Linked DNA regions of Coturnix japonica. The protein of the gene in region 2 purifies or fractionates together with the protein of the main gene of each other region. This does not show direct contact. Links are inferred from orthologs where the notes say so. Each region holds a gene or a part of one and is shown on either strand. Other genes may lie near its edges.

Evidence for each region. The genes of interacting proteins can lie anywhere in the genome.
Region 1: the proteins of XIAP (region 2) and SIVA1 purify together in Homo sapiens (affinity purification with western blotting; 3 studies listed by BioGRID). This does not show direct contact. The link is inferred for Coturnix japonica from reciprocal best matches to the Homo sapiens genes XIAP and SIVA1.

Annotation. Positions count from the first base shown.
Region 1 is NC_029520.1:46,911,551-46,915,233, reverse strand, and holds SIVA1 (apoptosis regulatory protein Siva), read right to left. Parts: upstream 2,372-3,683; 5' UTR 1,984-2,371; coding exon 1,866-1,983; intron 1,790-1,865; coding exon 1,598-1,789; intron 1,513-1,597; coding exon 1,356-1,512; intron 807-1,355; coding exon 749-806; 3' UTR 569-748; downstream 1-568. UniProt on the Homo sapiens protein: Induces CD27-mediated apoptosis. Inhibits BCL2L1 isoform Bcl-x(L) anti-apoptotic activity. Inhibits activation of NF-kappa-B and promotes T-cell receptor-mediated apoptosis.
Region 2 is NC_029519.1:14,642,536-14,646,922, forward strand, and holds the start of XIAP (E3 ubiquitin-protein ligase XIAP), read right to left. Parts: upstream 2,804-4,387; 5' UTR 2,696-2,803; intron 1-2,695.

The DNA.
Region 1 (3,683 bases), on a different chromosome or scaffold from region 2:
CTGTGTGTAGCAGCATTATCTCTGCATCTCATGCGCTATGGCGATCATGCTGGCTCTGCTCTTGCTAATGCTGCCACCGTGTGGACGTAACACAAAACAACTTCGGGACAGCTGAGAGAAAAGTGTTGTCCAAGCCTTTAACCCAAAGGCCTCAGGTACATTCACACCTCCCAAACCAGGGGGCCAACACTGGGCTGCATCACCTGTACATCACAAATCCAGCAGGCTTAAAACATTCCTACAGTGATGCTGTTTCTTGGTATCTCCTGACTAGCAAACGTAGCACACAAACTATGCATAGGCCAGTCCTGAGCAGGTCAGTTCAGGCATGGCTGACTACTCTTAACTAGTTCACTGCATGTTTTGTGTTCAGGATAGATTACACTCACCTGGAAGCACATAAGGAACACGCCATTTCTATTCCGATCCACACAAAGAGTGTCTTGATATGAGCAATGAGAGAGACTGACTTCTGTGTGGCACAAGGAATAGCAGGTAAGAGCACAAAGCAGCCCATTCCAAACGTGTCACAAACGTGAGCAAAGCAAGAGCTAACTCAAAACAACGCAGAAATCCTCAAAATATAAAAGTTTATTTAACTACAATATTAAAAAGTACAATATAAAGATATAAAACATAGAAATCCCATCATTGGTTCAGGGGTTAAAGGCATTAACTGGCCAGCTGTAAGGAGGAGCCTTCATGGAATTTACAGGCAGTTTAGCACTAAAGGCTATTTCATCTGCTTTCAGACTTGAAATATTGAACAGCCATTGCAGAGAATTTGCTCACCAACATCAGCGTAGCTGGAGGGGGGGGAAAAAAGAAGAAAGAAAAACAAGAAGTCAGAGTGCATTCACCTTTCTTGGAACACAAATCATAGAATCATAGAATTACCCAGGTTGGAAAAGACCTTGAAGATCATCAAGTCCAACCGCAGCCCAACCATAGTACCCTAACTCTAATAACCCTCCATATGACTCCGAGCACAACACCTTCTTTATATCACAGCACCCTTAATGACAACATGGAGCTCTTAACGTCACTCCTTGGGAGTGCATTTGTTCGTCACTGGCCAGAATAGGACACTGCTGTTGAAATAGCAAGAGGAATAATTGCCACCTTGAGCACATAAATGAAAAGCTGAACTAGGCTTTCATTAAGATCGATTAAGCTGCTTCACACAGGCATTTCATTTCCCACGTTTCACGCAGTTTTATTGCTCCTAATTCAATATCCAAGGAGTTTCAGTCAATTGGATGTATGAGTTAGATGACTGCTGAGGCTTCATAAACTACAGCAGGTCGTCAGGGTGCACGGAGTGACAAGAATCCAAGAAGTCCAAAGGCACTTACTCAGTGATGGAGCACAGGGAGCAGGTCACGGCATTACAGCAGCTGCACACCCTGCTGCAGCTCTGGCACACGAACCGGTCGCACTGTGCACACGCTTCCTTCACATCAGCAGCTCTTACACATGAGGAGCAAGCTTTGGAAACTCCCACCGGAGGAACTGCTTAGAAAAGATACAATCAAGAAACTAGGAAAACAGAGAGAACAGCAGGAGCTGGTCAGCTCCGCTTGGTACCGCATCTCACCGCTCTCCGTGTTGGCCGTGCATCGCAGCAGTTTCCCGTTGGGCCCGATCCTCAGCTGCTCGCTCCGGCTCCGTCCCACGCTTCCCCCTCCCGACTCCGGCTCCGTGGAGCGGCTGGCGGCTCGTGGCGCTGCGGGCCAGGCGGGCTCCGTGCAGCTCTGAGCGGCCCTGAACAGCAGCCGCCGGGTGCGCTCTGCCGGCGGACACGAGAGGCGGGTTACGGGCGGCCGCGGCCCTTCACCCGCCCTTTCCTCCCCTCCCCGTCTCACCGTAGATCTCCCGGCGATACTCGTCGCCCCGCACCCCGCGGCTCAGCTCCTTCAGCCCCACGCGGGTCTTCAGCTGCAGCGGGGCCGCGTCCCCGAAGGGACACGAGCGCTTCGGCATCGCCTCCGCCAAAGGCACCGGGAACCGGCTGCGACGGCGCAGCGACCGCGTCACCGCCACGGGCACCAATGGAGCAGCGGGGCGGGAAGCGATGAGGGGCGGCGGGTGGCTCCGACCGAGCGCTGAGGCGGAGCTTCGGTGCTCGCAGGCTCCGTAATGCGGCCGAAATGCCGGGATATGGAGAGTCGTTGGTGGGATGTTCCCGTCTGACACACCGCCACGTTGGGCTTTTTTGCACGTACAGCCAACCTGCGGCCTTTACTCCTCAACAACATGTGTACACCTCATATCAAAGGTGCTATTATATATTACTGCTATGAGTGCCAGCACACAGCTCCACGTCATGTTCCTATGACTAGTAACTGAGTTCATGGCCTCATCTTGATGAGTTGTTTCAGGCACCAAAACTTGTATGATAAGCCAGCAAGGTGCAGGATTAATGCTGAAACAAGGGTTTGCCACCCTGGCACAGCAGCCAGTGCCTTCACTTAAGTTAGCACGACGTGGTTCTCGTAAGAGACACAACAGCTCTGCTCTATAGATCAGAATCCTCGAAGGTCCCACTTACACTAGAGGGCACTCTCAGGACTGTAAACAGCGTTGTTCATTTAATTCGAAGTGATCGTTCCAAGAACTCTGTGTTCAGAAAGTGCTATTCTGCTCCTCAGCCTGGATCTCTATGGGAGAGACACCAAGGCACTCATTGTATCTCTGTGCTCTCTGCTGAGCAGCCTGCACTAGTGTTGTGATATAGGCTATAAAAGTGATGTTCAGTACTAGGCCTACCACCCAGGGTGCCAACTAATAGATGTTATTATATGTGCCTGCCAAATGAGGACTACAGTATCTCAACACTTCGAAAACATTCAAATACATGAGTGCTTTATCCTGGAAAAGGCATCTCCTTGCCAAAGACATTCATGCACAGTGTTAAAGTGTGTACTACCTCCTGCTGCTGGCCAAAACCTGATGCATTAAAGGAGGTTATAAACAGTTTGTGTCCCCTTGTTTTTATCTTTCCCCATCTCCTGGACAGTCTCAGAGCTGATGAGCCAATATTGAATGCAAACACAGCTGCAGAAATGAACAGATATTAATAACGCACAAAGGTGCTTCAACAATTAATCTCTTGTGAGAATACGTAGATTAAATGGCAAAGTCTTGGAACTACTCTGCAGGTTTTAATACCTCACAATGACTGATATCCACATGGACAATACTTCACTTTTGACAAACAAGAGTTCAGGCCCACACAGGAGTAAAAGCAGCAGAAAGGAATTTCTGCCAGTTGTTCCCTGCCTTTCTTTTCCACAGACTTGTTGTCTGGATAAGAACGAACTTCCATGAGGTACAAGGAGTGGGCTACGGCTTGACCCCACATGAACTACTAGAAGTGAGTATGAATAAGGAAGCAATGTATTAATTGCAGCACTAGAAAGGCAAGATGTCAATGTCAATCTTGCCTTTCTTCCTGTTTTTAACACCCTACCCACATTCTTTCCTCCCTCTCAGCCTAAAGACTCTGCTCTCCAGCTGACATACAACAGATGGACCAGCAACTAAACAGAGTGTTTTCCCACTGGGTAATTTCAGCAGAGATACTTACTTGGTTGTTGCTGGTTTTTTTTCCTTCTGCCTTGAGCAATGTTAGTGTCACATGGAGTTCAATCAAACTGCTTCAGACACTCCAGCTACCAATG
Region 2 (4,387 bases):
ACAACAAAGCAACTTCAATAAACTGAGAAGCAAGCTATACAGATCCAACCCTCCACAGAGTTAAAACAGGGGAACAAAGTATCCATCAAAAGTATCAATCAGTGACTATAAAGTGTATCACTGCAGGAATACAACGGAGTTACTGCTCTTCTTGGTTAGGAAGAAAAAAAAAAGGCAGTCAATGGGAATATGTGAACAAAATGGGCAGTGATAAAAAACACCTGGCAAAACCTGCAGTGACCATGGATACTCCTCCCTTCTCAAGTATGAGCTGTGCTCCAGCTTGCAGCATCACATGCTTTTACTGTTCAGCTAGAAAACATTTATGCCTATAGATGAGTGAAAAGACAGAAAGAGACAAGCTCTCTTCAAGGGGACATAATGAGACTGGACTCCAGTTGCAGTAAAGTGATTAATGCCACAGCAAAACTGCCAGATCCTTGCGATTATAAAGGAAGAAACTGCAGCAGCAGGGCAGCACAGGGAGCCCATGACCTCTGCCCAGCTGGGCTGCTCACACAGCAAATCCATCTGGGCTAAATGGCACCTCAGCCCAGTATCACTAGCATGAATGCTTTGTCATTCATCGATGGGCTGAAATCATACACACCCAAATTGGTGTGCATACACACAGCTGTGTGCTTGGAATCTCTTGAATTATCCTCTATACTTGAAGTTTTTTATCAAGTTGGGATGACTCGAGGACTAATTCTAACACAAAAGTGAAACGTGAAAATTGCACCTGCAGACAGCACTCAGCACCAAATGCTGCCTTACTGTTTAATAAGAAAACGTTCAGAACACAGAAGGGGAAGGACAGCAAACTTCAAGACCAGCTTCATTTTACGTTCTATATTACATAAGTGACATTGCTCACTGAGGATGGCTTCTCAATTCCAACATTGATTAGATTCCACTAAGCAAGCTTTAAAATAGAACCTGCACTCTAGTAAAGAAGATTTTGGATAGTCATCAAGTCCAAAATTAACATGGGAAGCACCCAGGTTCTCTGGTAACAATTTTCAGTTGTGCACACAGTATTACAGTTTCCATTTCTAAAATAGGAAACGTTCCTAAAACTAGATGTGCAAAATCTCTCCTTATGAAATCAATTGCTGTCCCTTCTTCGTCTACTCAAAGACACAGCAACGTATAAGGGGGTCAAATATCTTATTGCTGGTATCCACCCGATAACTAACCAAGCATAGAAAAGGCAAAAAGTAAAACATTCTGTGATACAGTCTGAGCTGTTAAGAAGCAGCACCAATTAAAACAATAGCATTTCTAGTCCTGAAGGACAACCCAAATCAGGCTGTGCAACACGCCTTCTTCCACTTTCACATACCTTCAGCCTATCTGCACAACTAAAATTTTCTTCCCCTTAGGTTCAGAAATCTATTTCTAGAGCCTGGCTTCCTATAGTTGTGTTCAGAGCCTTTTGAATAGAACATCTCATGATGGACCTCTTGCTATGAAAAATAAGCTGCAAGAGACTACATCCATTAACTCCTGATGGAAAATAAGAATGAAAGGGTATCTACAATGGCTTTCCCCTTGGTATCCTGCCACCAACCAAGGTTAGCAGCAGATTAACTAAAGCAGATACAAGTTTCATGTGTTCTGGCACCAATCTTTAGGCAATAAACAAACAAATAAATAAATACATCCTTTCCTTCACAGGGAGCTCTTCATTGACTTATGAACTGGATATTCTGCAACACTTCAACTCCCTTTGGCTGCCTCGCCCAGCCTGGCAGTACAGCAACAGGTGCACCATCACTATCGTGGGCACACAGAAGCCTGCAACAAAATCCACCTTCACATTCCAAAGGCTTTGATAGGAACACGCATTTTCTAACTGTTCTGATAACAGAAGCAAGTCTGCCTCGTATCACTTGAAGCAGAAAAAAACCCCACCACACCCACATCAGAGTTCTTTCACTTTTGCTGCTGGTTACAAGGAGCAAGGTCAGAGGAAGCACAGAGCTGTCATTAACTCATTTCTTTGCCCTTCTTGGCCAACAGCGTGGGTGCCCAACTTCCAAAAGGACTGAATCACTCGTGTGTCCTCTTATGGGTCCTAAATAAAACTACAGGACAGCAAAAGGAAGCACTTAAGGAAACAAAAAAAATATATCAAAATATAGACTTATTCAACAAAACTTTTCATCCCCAGATGAAAACTTGCTTTCTTAAAGTTCATCTTACGCAGTTATTTCAAGAGACGAGGTGAATAATTCAGTGTATATTTAACTGCATCAAGCTATTAGTTAAGAAAGGATTTGGAAGCATCCATCAGCAAAATGTTTTTTTTCTTTTGGTGTAAGTGAAGCAAACACCACCACACCTCATCCCTAACGTAACACACAGCACAGCTCCAGTGCGGGCAGCAGCACAGGAGGAAGAGCTGAACGACTCTGCTCCATCCGAACACTGTCCTACACACGAGATCACAACTCCAGGCAGCAGACACTTCAGTGGATACCACAAAGCCCAGGCTGTGAAACCACGAGCGGACACCTCTGCAGCGGAGGGGGCGCGCCCGTTCCTGTGGCAACGCCTCCCGGCTCGGCGACCCTCGAGCACATGGGGCGGGTGGGCCCCGAGCAGAACCAGGGCTGGAAAGGAGCGGCCCTACCCCGCGCGGGGAGTCCGCCCGCCGACCCGAGTGCGCCGCGCCCGCCTGACAACTCACCGCGCCGCGTATCCTCCTCACCGGCCCCGGCTGCGGGAATCGCTCCGGCTGAGAAAATGGCGGCTCCCGGCAGCCTCTCGGCTCCGCACCGCTCGGCAGCAGCGCCCCACACAGGGCCGGGGGAGCGCGGCAGTGCGGGGCCCGCTGTCAGACGGCGGCACCCAGTGGCGGCGGGCGGGCAGCGCATCACCCCTCAGCGGCTGCTGGTCTTCCTGCCCGCTCCTCGTGGAGTGGAGCGGCCGAAGAGCCCCCAACCCGCTCGCCAGCACTTCCCGCTGGGTACCGGCCAGGCGTGGTGCTCAAGGGCCGCTGAAAGATGGTGTGAGGGAGTGGTTGTTCCCCACAGAATCCATGGTCTGCACAAAGGCCACCGTGAGAAGTCATCCGCCACAGAATCACAGAATGACCCGGGTTGGAAGGGACCTCAAGGATCATGTAGTTCCAACCCCCTGCCTGGCAGGGCCACCAAACATACACATTTACTAGATCAGGTTGCCCAGGGCCCCGTCCAACCTGGCCTTGAACACCTCCAAGGACGGGGCATCCACAACCTCCCTGGCAGCACACATCCGCCATGTGCTGCTCTCTGAGGTACCCCCTGAAGATGAGAGCTGCCAGCAACGCCGCTTGCTAACTTGGCGCAGAACTTGTCTTCTTGCCTTTATTCCTCCCTCCTCTCATGAGAACAACGAGTTTTTCCAGTCCCGAGTCAGCAATGTGTGGGCTGACATCTCTGCAGGTTGGCATTTCACCTGATCTGAAACCTCCAGTGTATCTGTACAGAGTCAAAACAAAGTCGTTTCTAAATGAGAAAACTGGCTGTACTGAAAATGCAGACTATCGTTCTGGATCACATGACAGAAATATTATTTAAGAATTTAAACCCAAGATGATAATTGTACTGATTTCAATATCCCGAGAAATAGCTGTGTTTCGCTAGTAAAGATTCCTATCAGTCCACACTCAGTTCACACCATAGCAAAGCACAGTTATTTACTTAAAGATCTCAGACGTATTATGACACGGTGAGAGGTTAGCACCTTAACAGAGCAGGATGAATGTGAATATTTAATCTTATAAATCCTCACCATCCCACATTACTAATGCATTCATTAGCAATGATTTTAACAAATGCCATCGCTTTGTTGAGGTTTTGATGCTTTTCCAAACGAGGCAAATCATTTTTTTTAATACCACAAGGTGTTTTTACAGTGACCCTCTTCTGGGTTTTGATGTCTAAATCAAACATCCTGATCAAACAAAACCCAAAACTTCTAGACCCAACACACAGAGCAACCAAAACATAAGAAAACATCACAAACAAGAAAAATGATGACAATAAGAAGAGTAATGCTTATAAAATGTTTTACCTTCTACACAAGCCAGTTCTTGTTCTTCTGTTCAACCAATTTAAAGTTCAGTTTAACATAAAATTCTGAATCAGTAAGTTGTACTGCAAGCCAAAACTAACGACATCTTTGGTGACTCAACAGTAAAATGAATTGTATTACTTTGAAGCACCTTTCACTATAGGCAGAGTTCTGGTAATTGAGCCAAAGGAGGTAATTAAACTTCGAGCAGAAAATCACAGGCAATATCTTTGTCAAGTTGAACTCAATGTAGAGAAATATTCCTGCTTGCTGTATTTATTCTTTCCTTTAAATTAAGCAAACTTGCTAGAATTGGTTGATT